2 linked regions of the Rhinolophus ferrumequinum genome follow. The protein of the gene in region 1 interacts with the protein of each later gene in a pairwise test. Links are inferred from orthologs where the notes say so. Each region holds a gene or a part of one and is shown in the gene's direction. Other genes may lie near its edges.

Evidence for each region.
Region 2: the proteins of CDK1 (region 1) and CDKN3 interact in a two-hybrid assay, tested with the Homo sapiens proteins (2 studies listed by BioGRID and IntAct). The link is inferred for Rhinolophus ferrumequinum from reciprocal best matches to the Homo sapiens genes CDK1 and CDKN3.

What each region holds. Positions count from the first base shown.
Region 1 is NC_046299.1:41,133,389-41,146,430, forward strand, and holds the start of CDK1 (cyclin-dependent kinase 1), read left to right. Parts: upstream 1-8,438; 5' UTR 8,439-8,572; intron 8,573-8,574; exon of another isoform or gene 8,575-8,674; intron 8,675-10,502; 5' UTR 10,503-10,527; coding exon 10,528-10,564; intron 10,565-12,319; coding exon 12,320-12,476; intron 12,477-13,042. UniProt on the Homo sapiens protein: Plays a key role in the control of the eukaryotic cell cycle by modulating the centrosome cycle as well as mitotic onset; promotes G2-M transition via association with multiple interphase cyclins.
Region 2 is NC_046289.1:38,741,468-38,753,994, reverse strand, and holds the start of CDKN3 (cyclin-dependent kinase inhibitor 3), read left to right. Parts: upstream 1-6,627; 5' UTR 6,628-6,740; coding exon 6,741-6,749; intron 6,750-8,903; coding exon 8,904-8,986; intron 8,987-10,298; coding exon 10,299-10,354; intron 10,355-10,868; coding exon 10,869-10,913; intron 10,914-12,527. UniProt on the Homo sapiens protein: May play a role in cell cycle regulation. Dual specificity CC phosphatase active toward substrates containing either phosphotyrosine or phosphoserine residues. Dephosphorylates CDK2 at 'Thr-160' in a cyclin-dependent manner.

The sequences.
Region 1 (13,042 bases):
CTTAAGCTATTAAGGAAGGTATTTATAAAATTTAAAAAATACTATATTTTACTCCAGAGATATTTTGCTTGTAGTTAAATAGCAGATAAATTCTAATAGTCTCAATTTTCTTCCTTCTTCCTTCCTTCCTTCCTTCCTTCCTTCCTTCCTTCCTTCCTTCCTTCCTTCCTTCCTTTCTTCTTTCCTTCATCCTTCTTTCTTACTTTTTTCTTTTAACAAGTTATGTAATTGAAGAGAGTTATTCTGATTAAAATTTGAATACATAGTGATCTTTGCACTGTGAAGTCTTGGAAAGTGTTAGTTAAATGGCAATACCTTGAAATTGTAAGTAAGTTGCTAGCTGCAGTATGTTTCCCCTCTGGTGTGTGGTCATTGTAAAATCAACATAAAACTAATTGGATGAAAATGTTGTTAAATGATCACACATCCCATCACACTAAGGAAACAATTCTGCGTCTATTTCGTTCTAGTGTAAGCTCATGATTTCTAACCTTGCAATCACAGTGTATCTGTCGGGGTGTGTGGTATTTGATTATGGGAAATACCACAATTACCTATTTAATCATTTCCCCACTAGATATCTAGGTTGGCACAAAATTTTTTATTATACTGTGTTTCCCCAAAAATAAGACCTAGCCAGACAATCAGCTCTAATGTGTCTTTTGGAGTAAAAATTAATGTAAGACCCAGTCTTATTTTGCTATAAGACCGGGTCTTACATAATATAATAAATATAATATAATAAATATAATATAATATAATATAATATAATATAATATAATATAATATAATATAATACCAGGTCTTATATTAATTTTTGCTCCAAAAGATGCAATAGAGCTGATTGTCCGGCTAGGTCTTATTTTCCGGGAAACACAGTAGAAACTGTTGTAATAACTTTGTTTCAAGTATATGACTTTTATCTATATAGAATTATTCTCTTGTGATAAAATAATATTACAAGATATACTAAATTAAAAAAAAGTATATAACTTTTTATTGCTGTATTACTTTCCAAAAGGAGGTGTGTGTCTATGTGTATAAAATACAGCAACATATATAACACAGTAATATATATTTTAGGATATTAACTGTAAATAAGTATATCAAAGATATGCTTTTTTCAACTTAAATTATGTAACCAAGTGTACACACCAGAATTCATTTTACCAATTTTCTTGTTCTTTTTCTCTTTTTACTAAAATCAATAAGAGACTTGGATGTAATATTTAATTTAAAAGAAGAGTTTGCATTCAAGGCTATAATAAGATACTGGTTATTGTAAAAACGCTAAATGTCTACTAGTGTCTTGCCTTGCCAATCCAGCTTTCTTGCCTTCTAAAAATGGGTACCTTGAATTTACTAACTTGTCTAGAGCTACAACCCACTAAACGTACTTGTCATATATTTCTTAGCCATGGAATAATTGAATTAAGCTTGCAGTCATTACAAAGTATAAACAAGAAGAAAAATGCTTGGCTTGATACTTCAATTGATAGCAGCCTCATCAATTTTATCAATTTGTCTCTACTACCCTCTAGTGGAATCATAGTCATAATATCTTTACAGCATTGCCTGCAGATTACACACACACACACACATGCAAATATGCAGGTTTATAAATTTCAGCCTTATAGAGTTTGTCACAGCCTTAGGTATTATAAACTCGTGGAGGAAATTACCTTTTAATTGGTATTCTTGCTCCTCTCCTTTCCCACATTAATCCTTTCTGGAAAGTACAGCCAGATTAAACTGTTTAAAGGGAAAATGCAATCCTATCACTCCCCTGCTCAATAAAAAACCGTTAGTCGTTCCCACTGGACTGTTTGAAGTGCTGCTGATCAACTTCCCTACAGTGACTTCCAAAAATCTTCACAATATGAATGCAACTCTCCTTTTCATCCTTCTACCCCTTCACTCCCTATACCCACTCTGCCCTCCAGCTAAATCCCATTGATGGATGTTCTCCAAACCAACCCTGTGCTTTTCCACTTTCTGCCTAGAATGCAACCCACCTGGTCATCCCCACCCCACCAACTTCTTTTTCCCATTTCTATTTGCTAATGGTGTGTTCATATTCCAAGAATTATTTCAAATGCACCCTTGGTTCAGCTTTACCAAACTCCTTTTATATTAGTTTGGTGCAAAAGTAATTGTGGTTTAAAAGGTTAAAAATAATAGCAAAAACCGGAATCACTTTTGCACCAACCTAATAAATCCTATGCAAGCCAGGCACCTCTCTGACACTGTTGTCTGTTGCATATGCCGCTCCCTTTGTCTGGATGGTCTACCCAGGCTCCTCTCCTTCAATTCCCATTTAAGTTGACAACATCAGCTTTCCTTCTCAACATAAGGCAAGGATCTCATCATTAATGAAGCATTATCTACCTCCTCCAGAGATTTTTTTTCCCCTCTCTTCTGTGATCCCATTGCAATCCATTCAAGTCTCTGTTTCAGTATCTACTAACATAGCTACTATTTTTGTGACAGGTAGTGACAAAGTGATTAGGAAAAATCATATTTGTGAAGTGCTTACTGTGGGCTGGACATTGATCTAAGTAAATGTTACATGGCTTACCTCATTTATGCTCAAAATGACACAACTATATGTTTCCCCCAAAATCAGACCGGGTCTTATATTAAGTTGTGCACCAAAAGACACATTAGGGCTTATGTTCAGGGGATGTTGGTTAGGTCTTCTTTTCGGGGAAACATGGTGGGTACTATTATTATCATCATGTGAGTAAATGAAGCACAGAGAAATGAAGTGACTTTCTCAAAGCCACAGGTAAGGGTAGGAGCCAAGATTTAAAAGAATTTGAGCCTAGGCAGTCTCTGGACCCTGAGCTTTTAACCACGACGATAGCACAGCCCCTCCAGAAAGGCTCTTTGTCAGGGTAGCTTGAATGTCTCTCTTCTTACCTCTCATTTTTGAATCTGTGGTTTGGGATTGGCTGTGGAAAGAATCAAATACGATGCCTGGGGTAGGAATACGTTTTTGTTTTGTCTTGTTGAATGACAATGTCCACTTTCTTCTTTGCAATTCTTTTCTTTTTACACATGTTCCCATCTGCACTTTGAAGTTTTGGAAGACAAGCGCTTGGGCTTAATCCTGTTATCGAATGTTGAAACAGCAGATCTGAGTGAGACATTACTTTGCATTCCCCGTGTGCTTGTTTCAAAATACCAGCTGAAGGAACGTATTTAATTAATTAAATCGTTAGCATAAAAGAAGTGTAATCATTTGTATAATCACCCCTCCTCTGAAGCTCGAGGGCAGATAGTCTAATTCATCTTTGTGTCTTTAGTAGCCCTCAAATAATGCCAGGCAAACAGAAGACATTCAAATATCTGGTGAGTGGAACTGACAGAGTTTTCTGTCGGACTTCAGAATCATGTCACTGGTCTAAAATGACGCACCGCCAAGGGTCAGATAACTGCTCACAAACAGGCCCCTGGAATCTATAAGACACTAAAGTGCCTGCCTCGTGTTTGAGGAAAAAATAAATTATGTCCCATATTAGTTTAGCAGTAAGAGGATACGATTATAGTTTTGCTCTTTGGAATTTTTCAAGAATAGTAAACATTTCAAATAAAACAGAATATTTCATGCCATGAACCCCCAGGCCTGTATCATTCCAGATGATGGTGTATTGAGTTAAACTAGGAGATTGTTTGCTTAACACTATTGGAAAACAAACTTTTATATCAATTCTTTTATTTACTGATTAGAGATCTAGTCATAATCCGCTGCCCCGCTTCATTGGGCTGACTCTAAAAGACAACGATTTAAAGAATTACTTGTTAAAATAACTTTTTAGTTCTGACAGAAAGGCCTAACTTAGGTATCCACAATATCGTGACAAAAAATGTAAAAGGCATTAGGAATCCATAAAAAGCATCAAAAATATCTCAGAGATTTAACTAACATCTAACAGCCCTGATCATCTCTCCTGGTTCCAAATATGTATAAAATTTTCTGTCAGTTTCTGAGTTAAATTCACCTTGAATCTAATGAAACTTAAGTGTCAGGGTCCTGCCTTGGCACAGGCCCTTTCCAAGGCTCTGAGAGGGGTGCTCACAGGGTTGTGTGTTTGTAAAGTATATGAAATAAGATACTTTCATTACAATCCATTCAGGTCACTGTTACTTTTTACTTGAACACTCCGTCAGTCACACTTCCCCACCTGTCCAGTGGCACCGGCAGGACCATGAACAATGGTGAGAATTGGCTCAGAGGAAGCTGAGTTGAGGATACATTTAGTTTAGGATTAGCGGCATCTAGTTATTTACCCACCACACTTCCAAGTTATTGCCACCAGTCCTAACGTAGGAAGGGCTTCTGGGAATACTCTGCCCATCCATTCAGCTGACTCTCTTGGCCTCTGGACATGAAGGGATAGGGTCAGAGATTTTATATGAACTCTAAGTAAATGGGAAGTGGGTAATAGAGGAGAAGCTAACCTGTGGGCAATGCTGTCAATTATAACATGCATAAAATTATATCATTACCGCATCTAAACTGAATTTCTCCTGTGTCAGGAATACGCTTGTTACCACAGCATGGACAATTATAAATATATCAGACAATTTTTGAAATCTGGAATATTTAGAATGATGCACATTAGAATTTTGCATAATTCCTGTGTTTGTAAGGCACAAGTTTATGAGTAGAGTAGTAGCATAGACACATACAAGTATGTGAAAGAAACTTGATGTTTTCTCACATTTGACAGAAATGCTAAAAATATATGTGACATAATCAATAACGATGTGAGAGCCACAAAAACTTTTTTGAAATGATCAATCATAAAAAGCCAGTTTGGATTAACCATGCTAAAGGAAAGACTGCATTATCTTTTCTCTCTTAATAGAAAATATTACAAAATTGTGCCATATAAAGAGAAAAAGATAAATAGCTCATCAGTTCGGTGAACAAATAAGCATTTAAAATATGGATTCCAAAAATTGTAAACCCCCTCAAATGTAGAACAAAGGCAATATAAAGATCTGTCAGGCAATTAATAAAATACTTTTTAATGGATTTTGTGACTTGATGGTATTTTTTAACTTTTAATATTTTGTAATTTTTTATTCTCAAATATATTTTCCATCACACTTAACTTAGCATTTTTTTTTTTTTTTAATTTAAAAAGGGCCCCTACATGATATACACTTCAGGCCTCACGGAACCTGTATCTGCCTTTGGCCATCTGTGGCCACGTGGCTGTCCCATGATACATCACAATCCACAGGCCAGAGTGGCATTTTACCCCCACGACTGCTCCTTAGCCTCTCTGCAGATGGCAGTGGCATCAACGCATGGTCAAGCCCGCACCCACGCCATCCCTGATGAGTCTTTCGCCCTTATTCATCACACCCGATCGACTCCTTAGGTCTTACAGTCCTAGCTTCTCAAAATAGCTCATCGTTACTTCTTCCTCTTCAAACTGACCCACACTCCTCTAGTTGAGCCCCTGTTGGGACTGTCGCAGAGCCCTCCACTGGTCTTCTGGCTCTGATGCTACCTCACTGTCCCTCCTCGCATCTTCTCTTCAGTGACTTTTCTCTCCAACTCCCATATCTGACTATGTCACTCCCCTACTCCCATTTTTCCCCTTTAATTTCATCATCCTGTCCAAATCCTTTAGCACAACCTGGGAAGGCCTTGTGAGATATGGGTATCTAGCTCCCTAGCACTTTCTTAGTTTGAGATGCAACAGCAAAACTAGCATGGATTTCTTTTTTCTTCCTCACTATTTCATGGGTGGAAGACTTGTTCTTACTGTAGAGCTTAGCAACCTCAGCATACAACTTTTTTCTTTCCTCATAAAGTCAAGAACTTTCACCTTTTCACTTAAAGGAAGTGCTTTATGGCTTCTCTTTGGCATTTTGAATTGCCAGCATCACTGCTCTTGCACTTTGAGGCCATTATTAAGTGAAATTAGAGTTACTTGAACACAAGCACTGTGATTCCATGACAGCGGATCTGATAACCAAGATGGGTATTAACTAAGTGACTAATGGGTACGGGATGCGTCTACAGAGTGGATATGCTGGACAAAGGTAGGATTCACATAGGAATTGTTTCTTTCTGGAATTTTGCATTTAATATTTTCAGACCATGGTAAACAGTAGGTAACTGAAATTGTGGAAAGTGAAACTGCTAGTAAGGGGGGATTATTGTAGTCACAAGTAACTGTTTCTCGAATTTATTTTATCTGAAAAAATACTCGTGCTAGTCTGCTTGGGCTGCCATAACAAAATACCTCAAACTGGGTGGCATAAACAACAGAAATTAATTTCCTCACAGTTCTGGAGGCCGGAAGTCTGAGATCAGGGTGCTGGCAGTGTCAGGTTCTGGTGAGAACTCTCTTTCTTGCTTGTAGATGGACCCTTCTTGCTATGTCCTCCCATGGAGGAGACAGAGTAAGGGAGAGATCTTATAAAAGGACTAATCCCACAGTGAGGGCTTCAACCTCATGATATCATTTAAATCTAATCACCTCCCAAAGGCTCCGTCTCTAAATATCATCATATTACAGGGTGGGGCTTTGGTGTATGAATTGGGGGTTGGGGCATAATTCAGTCCACAGCAATACTTATATCTAAAAACAAAGCAAAACAAAAGCCTCATGTGCAGTACCAACTAACCTTTTCTTTTCCTTCTAAATGGAGTTTACCAAAATATAAGTATGAAATTTTGTGGGGCATATGACTTTCCATCCTCTCTTCTTCAGTTCTTTTTTTCATATTACCTCCAGAATAGTTCTAACATACAGTTCCAAGACTGTACCTCTCCTCAGCAACTTTTTATAACAGTATTCAGGGCTCTTCAAGATTCTGACTCTAAACTCCTGTGCTTTAGAATGCCCACCCCACATTTATTTTCTCCAGTGTTCGTTCAAATGTCACTTCCTCTGCTTGAATTAGTAATTTCCTTCTCTATGTTCTCACATTATCTTATAGCATAAATTACAACATAAGTGCCAGAAAACAATTCTAAGTAATCATTGTATTCTCCCACGTCCACACTTAGAGCAGGAATTGTATCTGATTCATTTTTGTGTCTATTTAAGCGCAGCATTGCACTGTAGAGACATTGAATACAAGTGAGACTTATGTGTAATAAACTGTAAAATGAATTTACAATAGCATGAATTTACAATAATCCCTGAAACTTCAAAAACAAAGATAATCAAGTTAAATTAAAAAAAAAATCAAGCATCACACCTGTGGAAACTTCTGGTATTCTTTATGTTGAACATAAAGTGGATATAATGAATTACTACCTGTTTTTAGATGGTCTCAATTAAATTCCATGCTTAGGCCTCCCAGAGAGAAAGATATATATTCATTCATTAAAATCAGTACCCTAAACTAGCAGAGAACAGTCTTCTTTCCTAGAGTACTTTACTGGGGGTAGCCAGTTTTCATTTAAAATGTGAATTTGGCATTTTAAAGTTTATTAGGTTCAGGTAGAGATTTTTTCAGACCCCTACCTCCACTCTAAATTCTCTGCCTCTGTCACCTAGGAGCATAAAGTTGTCAAGGCTGAGCATTTGTGCCACATACAGGGCCAGATGATACATGTTACTTATGTAAAAAGGTATTAAACACCTCCACGTATGTGATAAAAGAAGTTCCATTGCTTCTCCTATTCTGGGTCATCTAATATACTTGTAGAGGTCATGGTAATCATTCTTTGTTCTGCATCCCTTTAAGGTCAGTGCAAAGAGAAATTCTTGCTAGGGGAACCTTATTATCACATTCTGTTTTACTCTTCTATTGTCTTGAAGATTTAAGAATGATGTTCAAGTGCAGAAATCTCTCTTAAGAATATGGTGGAGGGCAATGAAAGAGAATGTTTGATACTGGGTTACTTAAAGACCTCTTTTTTTTCCCTTATAGAATTGTGACTTTGTTTATTTGTTTTAAATAACATTTAAAATACCGATGTGAAAATATTTTGAAATTAAAAAAATACAATTTTGTTTTTAGTTTTTAAATAAGTAAAATTTTAAATAAATAAAAAAATTTAAAATAAAAAAGTGAGGTAAAAACAATTATATATATATAAAAGATATATATATATATATAAAAGAAACATGTTTCTTTACATTGTTGAGGACGTCTTTCAGTTTTCCATTTTCTTGAAATGTGCTCCTTCGGCCTAGCCCAAAAGTCATCTATTTAGAAAAACATAACTATACACTAGTTTGAACAAAGTAATGGAATCTGGATCTAAGTATAGTATCACTTTTGTGATGAGCTAGTTGTGCACAATAAATTTTTATTGTGCTGATATAGGAAGGGGGGGGAACCAACCGAGACCGATCAGTAGGTTCCTGATGACTAGAAACAGTAGGACGACGCTCTCCAGGGATGAAGGACGGCGCTTGCGCGCAGATTCATTTGGCGCCCGCCCTCCTGCTTTTTCTCCAGCCGCCGTTTTCTTCTGCTTTCGCGCTTCAGCCACCGGAGAACTCCGCCCAAGCGTGACTGGGCTCTGATTGGCTCCTTTGAAAGTCTACGGGCCACCTCATTGGCGAACCCGGGACCCTTTAGAGCGGTGAGTTTGAAACTGCTCGCATTTGGCTTCAAAGCTGGCTCGGAGCAGTGAAGGAAAGGGAGAAGCTGACGCGGTAGCCACCGCTGCCCCTTTTACCACGGGGTAACGTGCCGGGGAGTGTTGCTGGGTCAGGGTCATGCCTGTGGGGTCCACAGGGGTCGGCTCGGGGGCTTCAGAGGGGTAGTATTGAGTAACTGGGTGGGAATTTGGAAGTTGGGCTGGGCAGCGTGGGGCCAGGCTGGGCCTCCGGCGGCTGGGCCCGGCCTTCACCTGCGGGCTCGGGCCTGGGCGTGTGAGTGACGCCGGGTCCCAGCTTTAGAGGGAGGTTTAGGGGAGCCCAGAGCTGGTGGGGTTAAGCCGGGGAGGGCTGCGGCTGCCCTGGTTTCGGAGTTGCGGTCTGGGGTCGCGGTCGGCTTTTCTCTGGAAGAGGCCGCCCACCTGGCTAGGGAGGCTTTAGGGTCGCGGTTGAAGCCAAATCCGGGCATTGGCTCCGCGACACCGAGCGCTGGCGAAGTGCCAGGCTCGGTCCTAGGTCCCTTGTGCGCTCTGCCCTCGCTTCTGGGAGTGGGAAGCAACCACACTTGGGCCAGGTCTCCAGGCCAGTCCATTGGTATTTTACATCCTGCAGCTAGTAGTACTGAGAGCCTTCGGAGGTATTCAAAAGGCCTAACGCTGCATCCTTGATTCAAAAATGGTTATGGCAGGAAAATGGAGGGAGGCTACTCGAACCCAGCTGTGAAATTGACTTAGTTTTTAGCTAAATGAGCTCAACAATTTTATTGTGCATTAGGCATATTAAATCAGGATACTGAAGGAAAGATAATTATCTTAATCATCCATTGCCATTTCGTAAAATTAAAAATTTTTAAGGTTGACACTCATGGCCAGTGTAGTGCAGTTTTGTTCATTTAAAAAGATTTATCTCTATTTCTGTGGAATGATTCTGAAGATGAAAGTGAGAAATAGAACTTAAGGGCCAATTACTCAGAGTATTCAGATGACCTTTATATATGATGTTATCAGTGACGGGTGTGTTAGAAAATCAAGGTAATTATGCTTTGGGTTTCTTCTAGTTATGTTTCATAGGCAAATTTACCAGCCAAGGAAGTCTGGAGTGTCTGGTTATCTGCATTTCAGCTTTTTTTTTTTGACCATTATTTGTGATTTAAAAAAATATATATATATATATATGTGTATATATATGCATATATATATGCATATATACACATATATACATATATATTTTATATGTATATAAACTTGTTCTTGAGATTGTATAGGGCATAATTAGAACTTAGTCTGTGGAATTGCACCTTTTCTTTTAGGGTGCTAAATGATATTTCCTACTCTTTCAAAAAATACCTTGAAAGTGTTGATCATGTTTGTGTATGTGACTGCTAAAAACAGAAAACTCACTTGAGCAAGCTTAAACACTTATGCTTTTAACAATCTAATGAATGTGCAGTGTGACCACATTTTAGCTCCCTAGTCATGTCTTTAAATTATCTTCACAAAATCATAAACCAGTAAATATTCAGTCAAATAGCATTTGTTGAAGTATCTGGGTGTAATTGGCACATACTGGTGCTCCTTAGAAGTATTCCATAAGAAAACAGACTTCTGGTTGTTTGGGAAGGACAGATAAGTTGATGTCTGAATTTAAGGGGTTATTTGATTGAAAGAAGCTAAACACTGATATATGATACAAATATTTCCAGTGTTTTAGGGGTTAAGAAATGTGGGGAAGTCTTATTGCTGGAGTACTTTCCCTTGTAAATATTGTTTTAATGCAATAACTAATATTTATGAAAAGTTAATACTGTACCTAAGCACTGTGGAAAGTACCTTACATATAGTATTTCATTAATAACTTAAACCCCTCTTTTGAATTAGTGGCATATAATCAAATAATTTTTTCATCTCATTTTAGCATCTACCATACCTATTGATTAACTATGGAAGACTATACCAAAATAGAGAAAATTGGAGAAGGTGAGTGCTTTTCAGTAATAAAAAAATGTTTAATGACTTAATGATGCTATAACATCTGTGACATGAAGAAATGTAAATATTTATTAAAATCCAAACTTTAAAGCATCTTACACTACTGTGCATTAATATATATGTCCTTTACATAAATAACTTAAACACAAGAAATAACAAAAATGTTCACATTTCAAGAGAATTGAAATTATTCTAATATGACTCTGACAGCCCCTCTCCCCCATAATCCTGCATTCTTCTAATACTAAGTACTTAAAAAGCAATATTTGTATTTTGAGAAGACTAGCGATATCTTGTGTGTGTGTTGGGGCGAGAAGTAAGGACAGTAGAATTATGTTAAGTTTCGTAATACACTTTTAGTCTCCTACAATTGTTTTTAATATGATAAAATCTTTTTACCTGAATCTTCCGAATTGGTTTCAATAATTGACTATTACACTAATTTAAATAAGTTTCTATTGTGTTCCCCTAGGTTTAAATGATGTGTGTACATGTTTAAGCTATTCTTTAGGTTGGTGCAAAAGTAATTGCAGTTTAAAAGAAAAATAATTGCAAAAACCAAAATTACTTTTGCACGAACCTAATAAAACCAATAATCTAATCATTTGTTCTTTCTGTTGTAATTTCATTAAAGTTTTTAAAGAATATATCCATATGTTATAAATGAGGGATAAAAATATCCCTCTGCCTGTTTTTCCTCCACCAACAGCATATCTTACGTTTTATAGGTGTCTTGATATTATTAACATTCTAAGCTCTCCAGGAACAAATGACATAACTTATAATTTACAATTTGCTACTAGAGTCTAATTTATGTAGGTTCTGTTTGAGGAACATTTCCAACTATAGCTTTAGTGTGCTCCAAAGCCTTACTTGTATAGGAATACTATTGAAAAGCCAGGGGAGGTAGTAGAAGGAATTCAGTAAGATAATAATGACAAGTTTGGGTGGTGATTGGGTTGGAGATAGATTCTTTCTTTTAACTTAAAATTTTATATGATTTTTTTAAAAATAAATTTACTTAAAAATTTTATTATACCCATTCAACTACACTAATTTTGTTACTGAGTTAAAAATAAGTTTGATTAGCATGTCTAAGGCAGATCATTACCTTTTTCTACCTTGGGAGAAACTGATAAAAGCTATAGAATAGCCTCCCTAAAAAAATGTACTCTAGTCACTTTTGAAATTATACTGATGTCATAGAAAAATAGCAAAAGCTATTCAATAAAATTTTACATATAGTTAAGCGGCTCAAGACTTCCTTAAAATTTTCAACCCCAGTTTGAAAAGCACTTATCTAGTGGATTAAGTATACCATGTATATGAACTTGATTTAGCTAACTATGTAATCCATCTCCCTTATTGCCACTTCCATGCCCAGATCCCTTATACTGATATTGTGAAGTCCAACTATCAGAATCAGTGTTCCCATCAACTTCTGAATGGGTCTGAAGCTTTTCTACTATGTGGTAAATAATGTGACCTTTATTGGAGTTAATAAATATTTAATGAAATGTTTTATCCCCATTCTTTTCTGGATGAGGATAGACTATATATTTGAAATGCATAAAGTACTGTATACAGAGTTTTCTGAAAGTGTCACAGTGACTCCTGTTAGTAATATTTCCTGAGCCCAAATCTTTATGCCTGTTCTATGCCTGTCTTATTGCTGGGTAGGATATTTGAATCTTTAGGTTGTGGAGGGTGTCACATAGCAGGCGTTTGTTTTGTCTATTTCAGGTACCTATGGAGTTGTGTATAAGGGTAGACACAAAACTACAGGTCAAGTGGTAGCCATGAAGAAAATCAGACTAGAAAGTGAAGAGGAAGGGGTTCCTAGTACTGCAATTCGGGAAATTTCTCTATTAAAAGAACTTCGTCATCCAAATATAGTCAGGTATGGTATAATATCTGGATTCTAACCATTTTCCCCATGCTATTTAAAATGGGGATTTCAATGTGGGAAATTTACACATTTGCTTAATTTTTGGTATAACCTCACTGGGTGGAAAAAAAATACTATTTTTGTTAATTGAGAATGCTGGGTATGGCATAGGCTGTAAAGCAGGAACAGAGGTAAAGGAGCTTGAGCTTGGTCATAGATACTAGTATTTAGGGCTGAAAATCAAGGTTAATTGGCCATGGGCGAAAAGGAAGACCTTTTCACTGAGCTTTGTTAACTCTCCCAGTCTGAGAGCTCTGGTCTTTAAAGATCCCTTCATCAGAGTCCTAAGATAGGCAGTTAGGTCAGATGAAAAAGAAAGAGGGTTTTGTTTGTTGTTTGTTTATTTGTTTTCTTTTTTCTTTTTAAATATTTGGGCTGGTGTTTTGTGGGTTTGTCTTTCTAAAGGTCCAAGTTAGGATTTAATTGATTGCGGGGGTAAAAGAGGGGTGGTTGGAGATAGGTCAGATATTAAGGTCAGGTATTACTTTAAAATTTATAATTTACTTAATGGAAAGACA
Region 2 (12,527 bases), on another chromosome or scaffold:
ATCAGATCTGAGTCCCACACTGGGGATTTCTGCACAGGAGGGAGATGTTTACGGAATTACTACGTTTCTCCGCTGCCATCTCCCATTTCAGGAAGAACAGAACTATTATCTGGTTGGCCTTGCCAATTTCTGTTCTATATTTTAGGTCATTAATATGGATGCTTAGAACATACATGTTTCCAACTCATTCTGAATTCACTCCAGTACGAAGTGATGAAAATAGTGCTCTTTTTCCTTATTTTAGATTGAAAATGAGCTAAGTAATCCTGAAAGACAGAGATGTAAGAGTATCAGACTCTCCTCCATTCCCGACAAATTTCATAAATTGGTTTCTCCAAAACCAATGAGATGAGATGGGGAAAAGGTCTAGTTACACTTCCCTGTAAGAAGCTGTCTGGGGCTGCAGCAACTTGGATAGGCGAGTAGCCCAGCTTCAGGAGCTGGCCAAGCTTTCTCCTCACATGAAGGTAGAAAATCAAGCCAGCAGTTAAAGGCTCTGTTCCCCAGCTTCTTTGAAATATAATAGAACCTTGATTCCTCAAGTTCAGAAATCTCATTTTCCCAAAGATTGATCCAGCCGCAGGTCAATGATTCATAGCAAACAAACTCACTTGAAAATTCTCTGAGCTTAGAAGTCAGAGTCTTTTGACTTCAATCAGGTCTTTCGACTTCAATGCCCCTGCCTTTTCTGATGGGGTACCTCACCTTCCTAGTGGGAAACCACACGCAAGTGTAAGAAGAGGTTACAAATGCACTGATGGGGGCAGCAGGGCGGGCACCAGGGTGGGACAGGCTGCATGGAGCAAGCTGGCAGTGGACAGTAAGACCCATGTGACTGAGGCTCAGGAGCCAGCATCCAGCTCCAGGGCAGGCCAGGGATGGGGGAATGGCAAGAGATAATGAGGGCCCCACTGAAAACCAACATATGAATGAAACAGAAACTGCCTCAGTAAAACAGCAAAAGCCAGATTAGGAAAACCTGGGGCACAGGGCATGCCAGGGGGGCCCACCAGAAGCATTACCCTCCAAATGAGTTTCATAGCAGTCTATTCCAGCTATTTCCATCTAGACCAGAGCAGAGAAGAGCCTGTAGGTGGAGCCAAGCGGTTGCCAGCCTTGGGGCTAAGAGGAAACGCGGGGGCAGCGAACTAGGCAGGTCACTGCAATGCCAACACCAGATTTCAGAGTTCAAAATTCTTTTCTACATATTCTTTCTTGACTGTTCTAAAATGTGCTGTTGATTCTGTTCTACCTCTGGAAAACTTTCCTAGAGATGGCATGAGAGACGGTGGCCATATATCATTTACCAGCCAAACCTGGAAACTTGAAAGCAACAGAGCTGTTAATAATTATGCCAGTAGAACAGTCATAAACCAGGACTAACCCGGGCCAACCCAGACATGCAGTCACCCTCGCCTGAGACCAAGCACTCAGGACTCAGACATGCCTGTTTACAGCTTGTAGAGGGTGAGATAATCTTGCTAGGGTTGTTTACAGGATAGGCTAGGGGACTCCTGGGAAGGAACTCACCCTAAGGGAAAAGTCAAAGTACACAAACTGGATTCAGTGACATCAAGACAGAGCCAGAGGGGAGGGATGGTGTTGCCCAGTGTTGGCTGTACCCTACATCCTGTGACCCAGGTTCCATGGCTTTAAAAAGTCAGTGAAACTAAAAAGAGCTGTTTTATTAAAATTTCCGTGGGACATTGAAGATTTAAGAGTTAGCAAAATCCTGTGACAGCAATTTCAGCAGCCACAGAGAAGGTGCAGTTGGCACAGCAGTTGGGTGGGAAGTCAGTGGGTAGTCAGCTTGGCTGTTGTCAGGCGTGGGCAGTGATCTGTGACATTATTCCAGCAAGTGAGAGCTGGAGAGCCAAAGACAGTGGGTGCCTTTCTCTTGTATCATGGTCATCTGTGAGGACCCACTGAACTATTATAAAGAATAGAGAGGGGCTACAGTTCACATAGTGGACAGAGGAAGAACCAGGGAAATATCATTTCAAAGTATGGTTATTTTGACTTTAATTTTAGCCCCAAGCTGGTGATGACTGGGAAAGTTAAGAAATATTTCTTCCATCACAGTGTGAGGTTCACTGATGTTGTCTAAGTTTGGGAACCTTCTTAATTTGGGGCCCCTCAGTTCATATCAGTAGTTTTATGGTCTGCAGAAGGTATGAACCCTCAAAATATATACAGTCTATGATACTTGCATTTCAAAAATAATGTAGAAAAAATACTGACACATGATAATTAATACATAATATAGAAATATTTTCTAAAAATTCCTAAAAATTATAAACCTTTGCTACCTCTTAAAGAATGGCATCTACTGATTCTCTCTGATATCCAACTGATTAGTATTAGTCATTAACAATTTGAAATTAGATGCTACTTTGAAATAAAACGACTTACTCACCGAATGGCTAAAATGTAAAAGTCAGGCAATCTCAAATGTTGGCAAAGATGTTGGGCTAGAATTCTAACACAGTGCCAGTGGAAGTGTGAATTGCTATAACCTCTTTGGAAGACTGTCTGGCAGTATCTACTAAGGATGAACATATCTACTTCTTCTCTAGTATATACCCAACAGCAATGTATACATATGTTTACCAAAAGACATGGACAAGAATGTATAGTAGCACTATTCATAATAGCCAACACTGGAAACTACCCAATGTTTATCAACAGCAGATTGGAACAAAGTATAGTATATTCAAACAATGGAATACTGCCATGAGAATAAACAAACACAACTATACACAACAACAAGAATGAATCTCACAAACATAAAGCTGAGCTAAAGAAGCCAGACACGAAAGATTCCTTTTATATACAATTCCCAAACAAGCAAAATTAAGCTATGGTTTCAGAAGTCAAAACGAAGGTAACCTTGGGTCAGAATAGCAAATGGGAACACAAAGGAGACTTCTGGGAGCTGGGAATGTTCCATTTCTTGATCTGGTTGCTGGTTACATGGGTATGAAATTTTATCGAGCTTCTCATTTGTCACTTCTCCTACATCAAGCTAGACAGTAAGTCCAACTCATATTCAAGAGAAGTATTATGCTGCACCTTGTGATGGAGCCTGGCAAAGTCACATTGCAGAAAAACATGTGGGAGGAGTGAAATTGTTATAGAAAATACAACCTATTCCAGTGATAAAATGCAATGGCATTTTAAATTTTAAGTGATATTTTAAATAAACTTTACAATCAACTCCAATTATCCAGGGAAAATCAGAACTCAGCATCATTCTGGGATAAAGCAGAAATCTTAGGAAGGTAAAGAAGGAAATAAGAGCACCAGCAATCAAAGCATACAAGACCAGGAAGTATGCTCCAGTTTGGATCACATGTATTCCCTGGACTAATAAGTGTGACGGAAGGAATAGGTACATGTATGGGTGAGTCCCAGTCACACGCCTAACAAGACCACATGAAATGGGAAAGGGGAAATTCACCAAAGAGAGAAAAAATGGGAAAATAACACATGTCTACTGCAAATGTCATATACTATATCTGATGGTCATCCCAAGAGAAATTCTTAAACTTGTCAAGAATGAGGAAGTACATTCTTTCCAAGTTGTATTTAACTCTAAGATTCCAGTGTTCTCTCCCTAACACACATGTCAAGTCCATTAGTATTAATATTAAAATATTTTTAAAATACGGATCTAGTTGTAAAACATACATCAAGTGTAACTACAGATGGCAATCATGTTTCATTTCTCTTTGAGCATCTCTCAAAACACTCATCTGTCTATGAACATGTGTTAACACTTTTCTCTCTGGATAAATCTTCCACACTGTTTTGACCACATACATTTCTGTTAACAGCCATGAGTCACACACCAAAAAATTAACTGAAGACCACAGGTGTGGCAGGTTGAACTTAAGCCCCGACTCTTCCTCTCAGGGAAGAATCTTGGGAATTAGAGCGAAACCAAGTTATTATGATGCCACTTAACCAGCTGTCTCAGTCAGAAGCTTTGTCAGTTTATGTGGAACCCTCCATCATGAAGAAAGCAAGCCAAGCAGAGGAAAACATTTTAGCATGGTAAAGCCAGGAGTCTTAGTTTCCAAGAAGTAGACTTAAAGTCATGTTATTAGAAGAAATACATATTTCTCTCATTGACTATGTACCAGAGGTGGGCAAACTTTTTCTGTAAAGGGCCAGACAGTAAATATTTTAGGCTTTGCAGGCCATATGGACCCATTGCAACAATTCAACTCTACGTTAAAGCTCAGAAGCAGCCATAGACAATACTTAAACACATGAGTGTGGTTGTATTCCAATAAAACTTCACAAAAACAGGCCTGTGGGATTTGGTCCATAGGTCAAAGTTTGCCTGACCTAGACCAAAACAAACAAACAAACAAACAAAAACAAAACAAAAAACAAACAAAAAAAACACCTACAGAGGTGAGATGTGTTTGTCTTTGGCTAGTTAAAAAGAAAGCCTGGGCACAGCCCTGCTGGTGGAGGAAACAAACAGAAATTGAAATGCTCCAGTTTACCCTAGCCTTCCACTGCCTTCCTACCATAGGAACTCATCCTCTCCTCTCTGCAGAAACAGCAGGGCTAGAACAGGTTGAGACTGTGTTCATGTTCATTGGAGGCCAGAGGTGGCAGAAGTTGCACAACACAGAGGCTGGTTCTTCACTAACTCTGAGGGGGAAGGTATGTTCTGAGGAAATGGAAGGGAAGATTAAAGGGATCTGTGGAGACAACACGGGGAGAAGTGGCAAGAAGGCAAAAGTTAGGAAGTGAGGGAGTATCAACATTCTGAAGCCCACTCAGAGAGGACTTGTTCCCCTGTAATTCATAGAGATATGAATTACCTTACCCAGAGCCCAGGAACTAATCTTTCTTTGGAACCTCTCTAGAATCCTTCAGAAAAGAAGCTCTTACGCCTCCCACAAGGCACTGCTTCATTTCCTACCACTCTCCATCTCACTCAGTCAGCTTCTCCCACACTGGCCTCCTTGAGGTTCCATGAACACACCTAGTACATTCCCACCTCAGGGCCTTTGCACCTCCTTACTCTTCAGACAGATTGAAAGCTCTTCCCCTAAATATTCAAATGCTTCACTCTCTTCATTCTGGTGTTTCTCAAATGACGTCTCCTCAAAGATGCCTTCCTTGACTTTTCTGTCTAGAATAGCATCCTCATTAGGCTCCACTTGTTTTAATTTTTCTTCACAGCACAAATCACTATCTATCTCCCGCAACAGCATGTGAGTCTCATAAAGGCAGGGACTTTGTTTAGTTCATTCCAGTATTCCAAGCACTTTGAATAGTACCTAGGACACAGACAGTGCTCAATAAATATTTAGTGAATGAATGGATGAATCAAGTCCAGTGTGTCTATTATAGCTAATTTTATGTGACAACTTGGCTGGGCTATGGTGCCCAGATATTTTGTCAAACATTATTCTGGATGTTTCTCTGAGGGTGTTTTTGGATGGGATTAATATTTAAATTGGTGGACTTTGAGTAAAGTTGACTCCCCTCTACAATGTGGCTAAGCCTCATCCAATCAGTTGAAGGCCTGACTAGGACAAAAAGACAAGAGGGCATTTTGCATCAGACAGCCTTTGGACTTCATATGCAACATCAACCAGTCCTAGTTCTACTGCAGACTGCCTTTGAACTCCAACTGAAACTCTTTCCTGAGTCTTAAGCCCTCCAGCCTGCCTCATAGGATTTTGGACTCGCCACGCTTCCACAACTGTGGGAGTCAATTCCTTAAAATAAATCTCTTTATGTATCTATCCTATTGCTATCTTCCTTACTAAGGAATTATTCCTAATAGCTCTATTTTCACAATGTGAGTCAGGGAGCTGAAACTTCTGCATACTTTTGTCTGATCTGCAGGTAACATTGCACCAAGTGACTTCCTTCCCCACAGCCAGAGAAATGGGGACTGGAAAATAGGGAAGAAAATAATCAAACACATATTTTGAAGATTATAGCCAATTATGTAAGAAACACTGGCACTTGGAACCATCTGGACACTCTATCTTCCCTTCATACAATATTATTTCATTCATACTTGGTGAAGAGGAATGTTGATCTATACCTTAATCTGTCTAGATCCTGGAATGGTAAAGAACATAAACTATCAAATATACGAGGTAGATTTGTATTCTAGACTTTAGCCATTTCCATAGTATTTGTATGATTAGATATGACCATAATTATAAAGCCTATGGGATGTGGTGTGTTTTCATAAGATGCTCTTGGACAGTTCTCCTCCACCTCCTATCCACCATGCCCTCAAAACAAAACAAAAAATTTTAAAGAAAACAGACAGAATCCCCTACTCTGATGCCACTTGGAAGTCCTGCCATGAGGAAGCACCCCTTTCCAGCATCCGCAAAGCGCTGCGGCTGCGCTTAGACACTTTCGCTCCGCCCCGCTCCCCGCCCCCTCCACGATTCCAACTGGCGTGAGTTGGACGCCCTCTCGGCCAATCAAAATTCAACGGGGTTCTCCTCCCGCGCGTCTTTCAAAAGCCACCTAGGAACCAATGAGGGGTTAGAGGCCGAGCCAGGGCCTCCCGGGGCGGAGCACGAAACGGGGAGAGGGTGTGATTGGTTCCTAGAAGACGCCGCGCTCCACCTCACAGAGGGATGTGCCAATGAGCTGAGCCGAGGGACGGGCTCGGCGCGGGGCAGCTGAGACGGGGGTGCTGCCCCAGGGAGGCGGTGGCCGGTCGCGACGTGGGGAAACCAGCGATGAAGCCGGTGAGTTGGGTCGAGGCTTGGAGGAGAGAAGCTTCAGGGACGCGAGAGGTCCTAAGGCCATTTCTTGGGCCCGGGGACACAGGCCGGGCTTAGTCGCGGAATGCCTCTCTGAACAACCGTCTTGGCTAGGGGAGGTGGCGCTTCCTAGGACTGGAGAGAGCGATGGCTGTGAAAAAACGGGGTCGGTGGCGGACGAGGGGAAGATGGACATTTGCTGTGCGCCTGTTTTGGGCTATGTGCTGTCGCCTGCGGGGTCTCCTAAGCCTCACGACAGCCCTGCCAGTGAGGGCTGAGCCCCGTTTTACAGAGGAAACTGAGGCTTAGAGAGTTTGTTTCTGTGTATCAGTCTGCCTGATATCACAGCCTCAAAGGTTGTCCAGGGCTGCCCAGTGGACCCTGGGGAGGAGTCCTCACCATGGACGAGGAAAAATTCATGAAAGACGATTGCCAACCCCCGCTTATAGGTGTTGTCACCACTGTCATCCCCCCGCCCCCCAGGGCCAGAGGGCACTGTGCGCCTTTCCCTGGGGTTCAGAATCCCTGAACCCGGGAAAGCGAAAACGTCCAACTTAGGATTTGTAAACCTGGCTAAAACAGCCTGAGTGAGTGGGCCACACAAGTTGAAAATCTCGAATCATCAAAACTGCTTTAAAGAGAAAGAGAAAAAGAAAAAACAGATGCAAGGAGCTGAAATCCTACCTGACTCACATCACCCATCACCAAGGTTGACAACCTTATTGAAGGGCCTTCATTTGAGTTGAGTTAATAATAATAATACAGAGAGATCCAAAGCAACTCAAATCCGTAGCCTAATTTGGCTCTGTAATATGATCTTGTAATAACAAACAAAACAATTATAGAATATAGCTTCAGAACTAGAAGGGACATTAGGTGGTTACAATGAACTAATCCCCATGTTATCACATGGAGGGACACCAGTTGTTTTTCCCTCCTGACCTCTTTCTCTATTTGTACCCAGAAAGGGAAAAGTGAGTGATCTGATCCTCAAGTTTGGGAGGAGCTGAACACAAGTAGCTCCACCCTTTTTTCCCTGGTCTCTCTACATAGAGAGTACTTTCTGGAGTGCTCTCTGCCACACTGAGCTCTGGGTTGTCATTGGCTGCCTCTTAGTGGGTGGATAAATCCAATTCTAGAGTGACGAATTGAAAAGCCCACCGGACCACAGCTTTAAAGCCAGATCCTCCATTTGATACTCAGTAATAAAACTAATATATTGATCTCCGTTCGCATCTCTGGCATCTTATGTCTGTTGGTTCCAACTAGGGAGTAGAAGATGTGTTTTTTATTGCCTGCAGGATTGAGTTCCAACTCCTTAGATCAGCATAGAGTCCATCTCAATCTCTCTAATCCAATGATTCACAAAGTTGGGGCCAGGTTATTCCACCTATACTCCTTCCCTCCCCCAGCCAAACTATTAGGCTGTATGGGGCCATGTTTTGAGAAATGGGGTAGGCAAAACTACATCTCTAGCTTCATCTCTGCTCTAACACAGTTCCCAAATACACAAGCCCTTTCTCATTTTGCCTTAATTGCCTTAACTTCTTCCCTATCTGCCTAAAACCTCCTGCTTATTCTTCAAAACCCGGCGAATGCATCTTCTCCGTAAAGCTTTCTCTAGCACCCTTAGTCATTCCCTTTTCTGCTCAAAAATACATAGATTATGCTTCCATTTTAGCTCTTACAACTTTCTTCTTCAATCTGTGCACACATCTGTGTCTCCAACTATATGGAAGGTAGGCTATTTATTTTATGAATCTTCGCTCTCCAGACCTTGACAAATGAAGGTGTCCAAGAAATGTTTGTGAATGAATGAATAAACCTCCTCACTTTATAGTTGTGTACAACTGAGATCCAGACGAACTGCCATTGTTTGTTCAAGATTATACAGTAAGTGGCAGAACCAAGACCAGAAGCCCGGTTTCTTGATTTCCAATCCAACTCTCTTTCCACTATATAGTGCTGTAAGGTGGCAAATAGCAATAATTTACTATTGATATTGCTGATGTCTCTGATATTCCAGATTGAATAAATTGCAAATATGCATTTAGTGTGTGTGTAAGCAGAGATCAGCTATAATTAGACTATATGTAAATATTCTTTACATTTATTTAACATAACTGATTTCTTTTGAAGCCTGGTTCATTGCAAACAAGTGAGTTTGACTCCTCAGATGAAGAGCCTATTGAAGATGAGCAGACTCCAATTCAGATATCATGGTATGTTAACATTTCTGATCTTTGTAGTCCACATATTGAAAATATTTCATGATTTTCTTCCACTGATTGTATAATTCTAATCTTAAAGGATTATCTAACTCCATGATTTATTTACTATGTATGATAGAATTAGGCTTTTTGGAGGATGGGTCCTTCTTTATGCCCTGAGAAAACCATAGTAGAAACAAGTAAGGAGCTGAGATAGGAATGTAATGATCTCCCATTTAGTACCAAAACCTACTTATTCTTTTATGACAAAAGAATAGTGTATCAAACCTAGGATGAGATATTTAATTGTTTATCATTTAGTCAAATCTTAGAACTTGCCATAGTAATGTATTTATCAGCAGACACTGTTTAAGATAAAAGCCACATACCATAGATACAATAACAAAAACTAATGTTTCTATATAAAATTGGCTTCCAAATCTTGGCAGTGACTTATGGTTGGTTATACAAGAATCTCTACAACCAACAATCAAATGCTTTCTCTCATCCCTGTAAATGTAATAATCTAAGAAAGCACCGTTCCCTACTATAGGAAGAGAAAAAGAGTGTAAGTGTTGTTCCTGAAGGTTTTTGTTTTGCTATTAAATAACAATTATCTTTCATTGCCCTTTCTAACTCCCCTTTTAAACTCAAAACTCGTCTGACTTTCAAATTCTGGTGATATTTATATGCTGCCCCCTGTTTTCCTCTAAACTCATCTTCTGTCTTGCAGACAAGGTGAGCCTCTGCCTGCTTTGTCCCTGAGTACTGAAAACTGGGAATATGATTTCTTTAAATTATTTCATTTTTATTCAAATCCATTACAACAAAGATGGGTGGCCTGTGGTTTTTATCATATGAAATTATATCTGTTTAAGGAAGTTCTACAAAGAAATCTTAAAATAGTAATGTGGAATGAATGCTTGGGATGAAATTGTCATATGGTCATTTTCCAGTTCATTTCCTAAGGTTACTAAGACAAAAAAACCTCAGGTAACATTCCACAGGGTAACTTAAGTACACTGTATAATAGCTATAGGCAATCTAGGCATTATTATTTTTAAGGTAAATTTAAATTAACCTGCCACTTTTAAGACTTAAATTATAACACAGCAAATGATATGTCTGTTTCAAAACTTTCAGTCTTTTTAGGCCTTTTTGTAACCAACACATTGATATTTAACTATGAATCTTTGTTTTGTCACTACTATAAAACTTTAAAACACCCATGTTCAGTGGTAAGCAGACATATTTGTTAAATTGAATTTCCATTTATAACCTTTTAAAAACTGAACTAAACTTGATAAAGTTTTATTCTTTTCAGGCTACCCCTGTCACGAGTGAATTGTTCTCAGTTTCTCGGTTTATGTGCTCTTCCAGGTGGGTAACACTACAGTTGGCTTCTTATTAATGTATTTAAAGGTTTTGTAGTTGTTGTTTTGTCAGTTAACACATCATTCTGAGCAATAGGAGAATTTTCACAGACCATCAGCATGGGAAGCCCTCATGGTGGGTCATAGATAAAGGGAACTTAGATCAACTCTTCAAGCCTTCCAGATCCACATTCACAGTTCTACATTTCTGATTTACCTATCTTAATAAAATGTAAACACTGGGGTACAATGTGATGCTGAGGACTATAGCTGGGTAATTATTACAGAAAGGACACAGAATAAAAAAATCCTTGCATTAGGAGTTCCTTCAACTGGGATCTATAAATCCCTGGATTATATTCCTAAGAATATAAGAAATTGAAATTCACATTCAAAATGGAATTTAATCATATAAGTGATCATGTGGAATGACTTTCTAAAGTAGCTATATATGTATTTAGATATACTTGTTATATATGACCTAAAACTATCTTTTTCACTTTTCTTATTACTACTTATAGGTTGTAAATTTAAAGATATTAGAAGAAATAGCCAAAAAGATACAGGTAAGTATAGTATGAAACAACCGTATTAATAGGTTTTTTTTAATAACACTGAAAATCTCTGTCAAAAAGAACAAATTATAGTCTCTTCTCAATATACCAAATACATGTTTGATATTTTGTAAAATTTCAAACTATAGACTTGTTCTAATATGTGAAGAGGTATTTGTGAAGGGCACAGAGAACTCACCATTTACTAAACATGATGCTGCTTTTTGCTGATTGTTGTAGTTACATATAGAAACTGCATATGAGTTTAGAATGTATAAGTTGCAGAGAGAAAAGTTTGTAAATAGAAAACTTGTAAATAGACATTGCACTCCCCAAATCTTTGAACATGCTGTTCTTTACAGACTCGACTGTGGTAGCAGAAATTAAGCCTGAGCTGGGAACCCAGAGGTGGTAATGAAATTGTCCATCCTGGAGAGAAAAATTCCCCACCAGCATCTAGGTGGGGAAGACGGAGCGCTGTCTGATCTTTTCATGTCCAAGGGCATACCACTACAGCCTCAAGTCTAATAATTCCCAGAAACATCCTGATAATCTATCCCAATTTGGAATTTACATATTGCATGATACTAAAAAACTTGAATTTTCAAAATAGTTTATTCTGATTTGCCTGGAATATCTCAAAGCTAGTAGTCCTACCAATGTCCTTATAAAACATCAAGTAAAAATGTATATATTGCTTGATTCTGACTGGTATAAATTTTGTAAATCTTAAAATGTTTTCCTGGTTGTTTATGAATACCTATTTGCTGATGTACTTTCTCTAAAGTATTCCCTACCTAGCAACAAAGACTCAAAGAGGCTAATAGATGAGTTGACCCTTGTAGTATTTGTAAAGATTTTGTTATTTAGAGACACGTACCATGGAAGGAAATTTCCATGAGGAGAACATTTAAGTCATACACAAAATCTAATGCAAATCATTGGTTCAAAAACCAAGCTTGCACATTTTGGAAAGCCCTGTTCATTTAGTACCTTCTATAAAAGGGGTTTCCAATATTTTACGAAACCTCTTATTTTCCAATGAAATCTTAAATGGAATCCAATTCATAAAACAGGTGACAATGTTTGATGGACGAGACATGGAATCACCCTGAGCAGTTCCTGTGGTCCCTCTTCAGAGTCCTTTCTAGGGAAGTTTGAAAACTACTGTATAATAGAAATGATTCAACGTGTACAAGAGGCAAATAGAAAATTACCTGCTCTTCAAAACGGTTACGAATGTTAACAACAGGTCAAATCCTTTTAGAAATCCAAAAATATAATAGTATTATCTAGAGCAACACTGTCCAACAGAAATATAATGGGAGCCACTAATAGAAGCCATATGTATAACTTTACATTTTCTAGTTGCCACATAAAAAAAGTAAAAACAGGTGAAATTCATATTTTTTATTTAACCTAATATAGCCTAAAGACTATCATTTCAATGGGTTTTGATTAGAAAACAAGTTATTAATGAGATAGGGGATTTTTTTGTACTTAATCCTTGAAATCAGATATATATTTTATACTTAGAAAACATCTCAATTTGGCCTAGCCACATTTCAAGTGCAAATCTAGAGGTTCATGATCAAAGGCACTTTGTACTTAAATAGCTAATTGTCC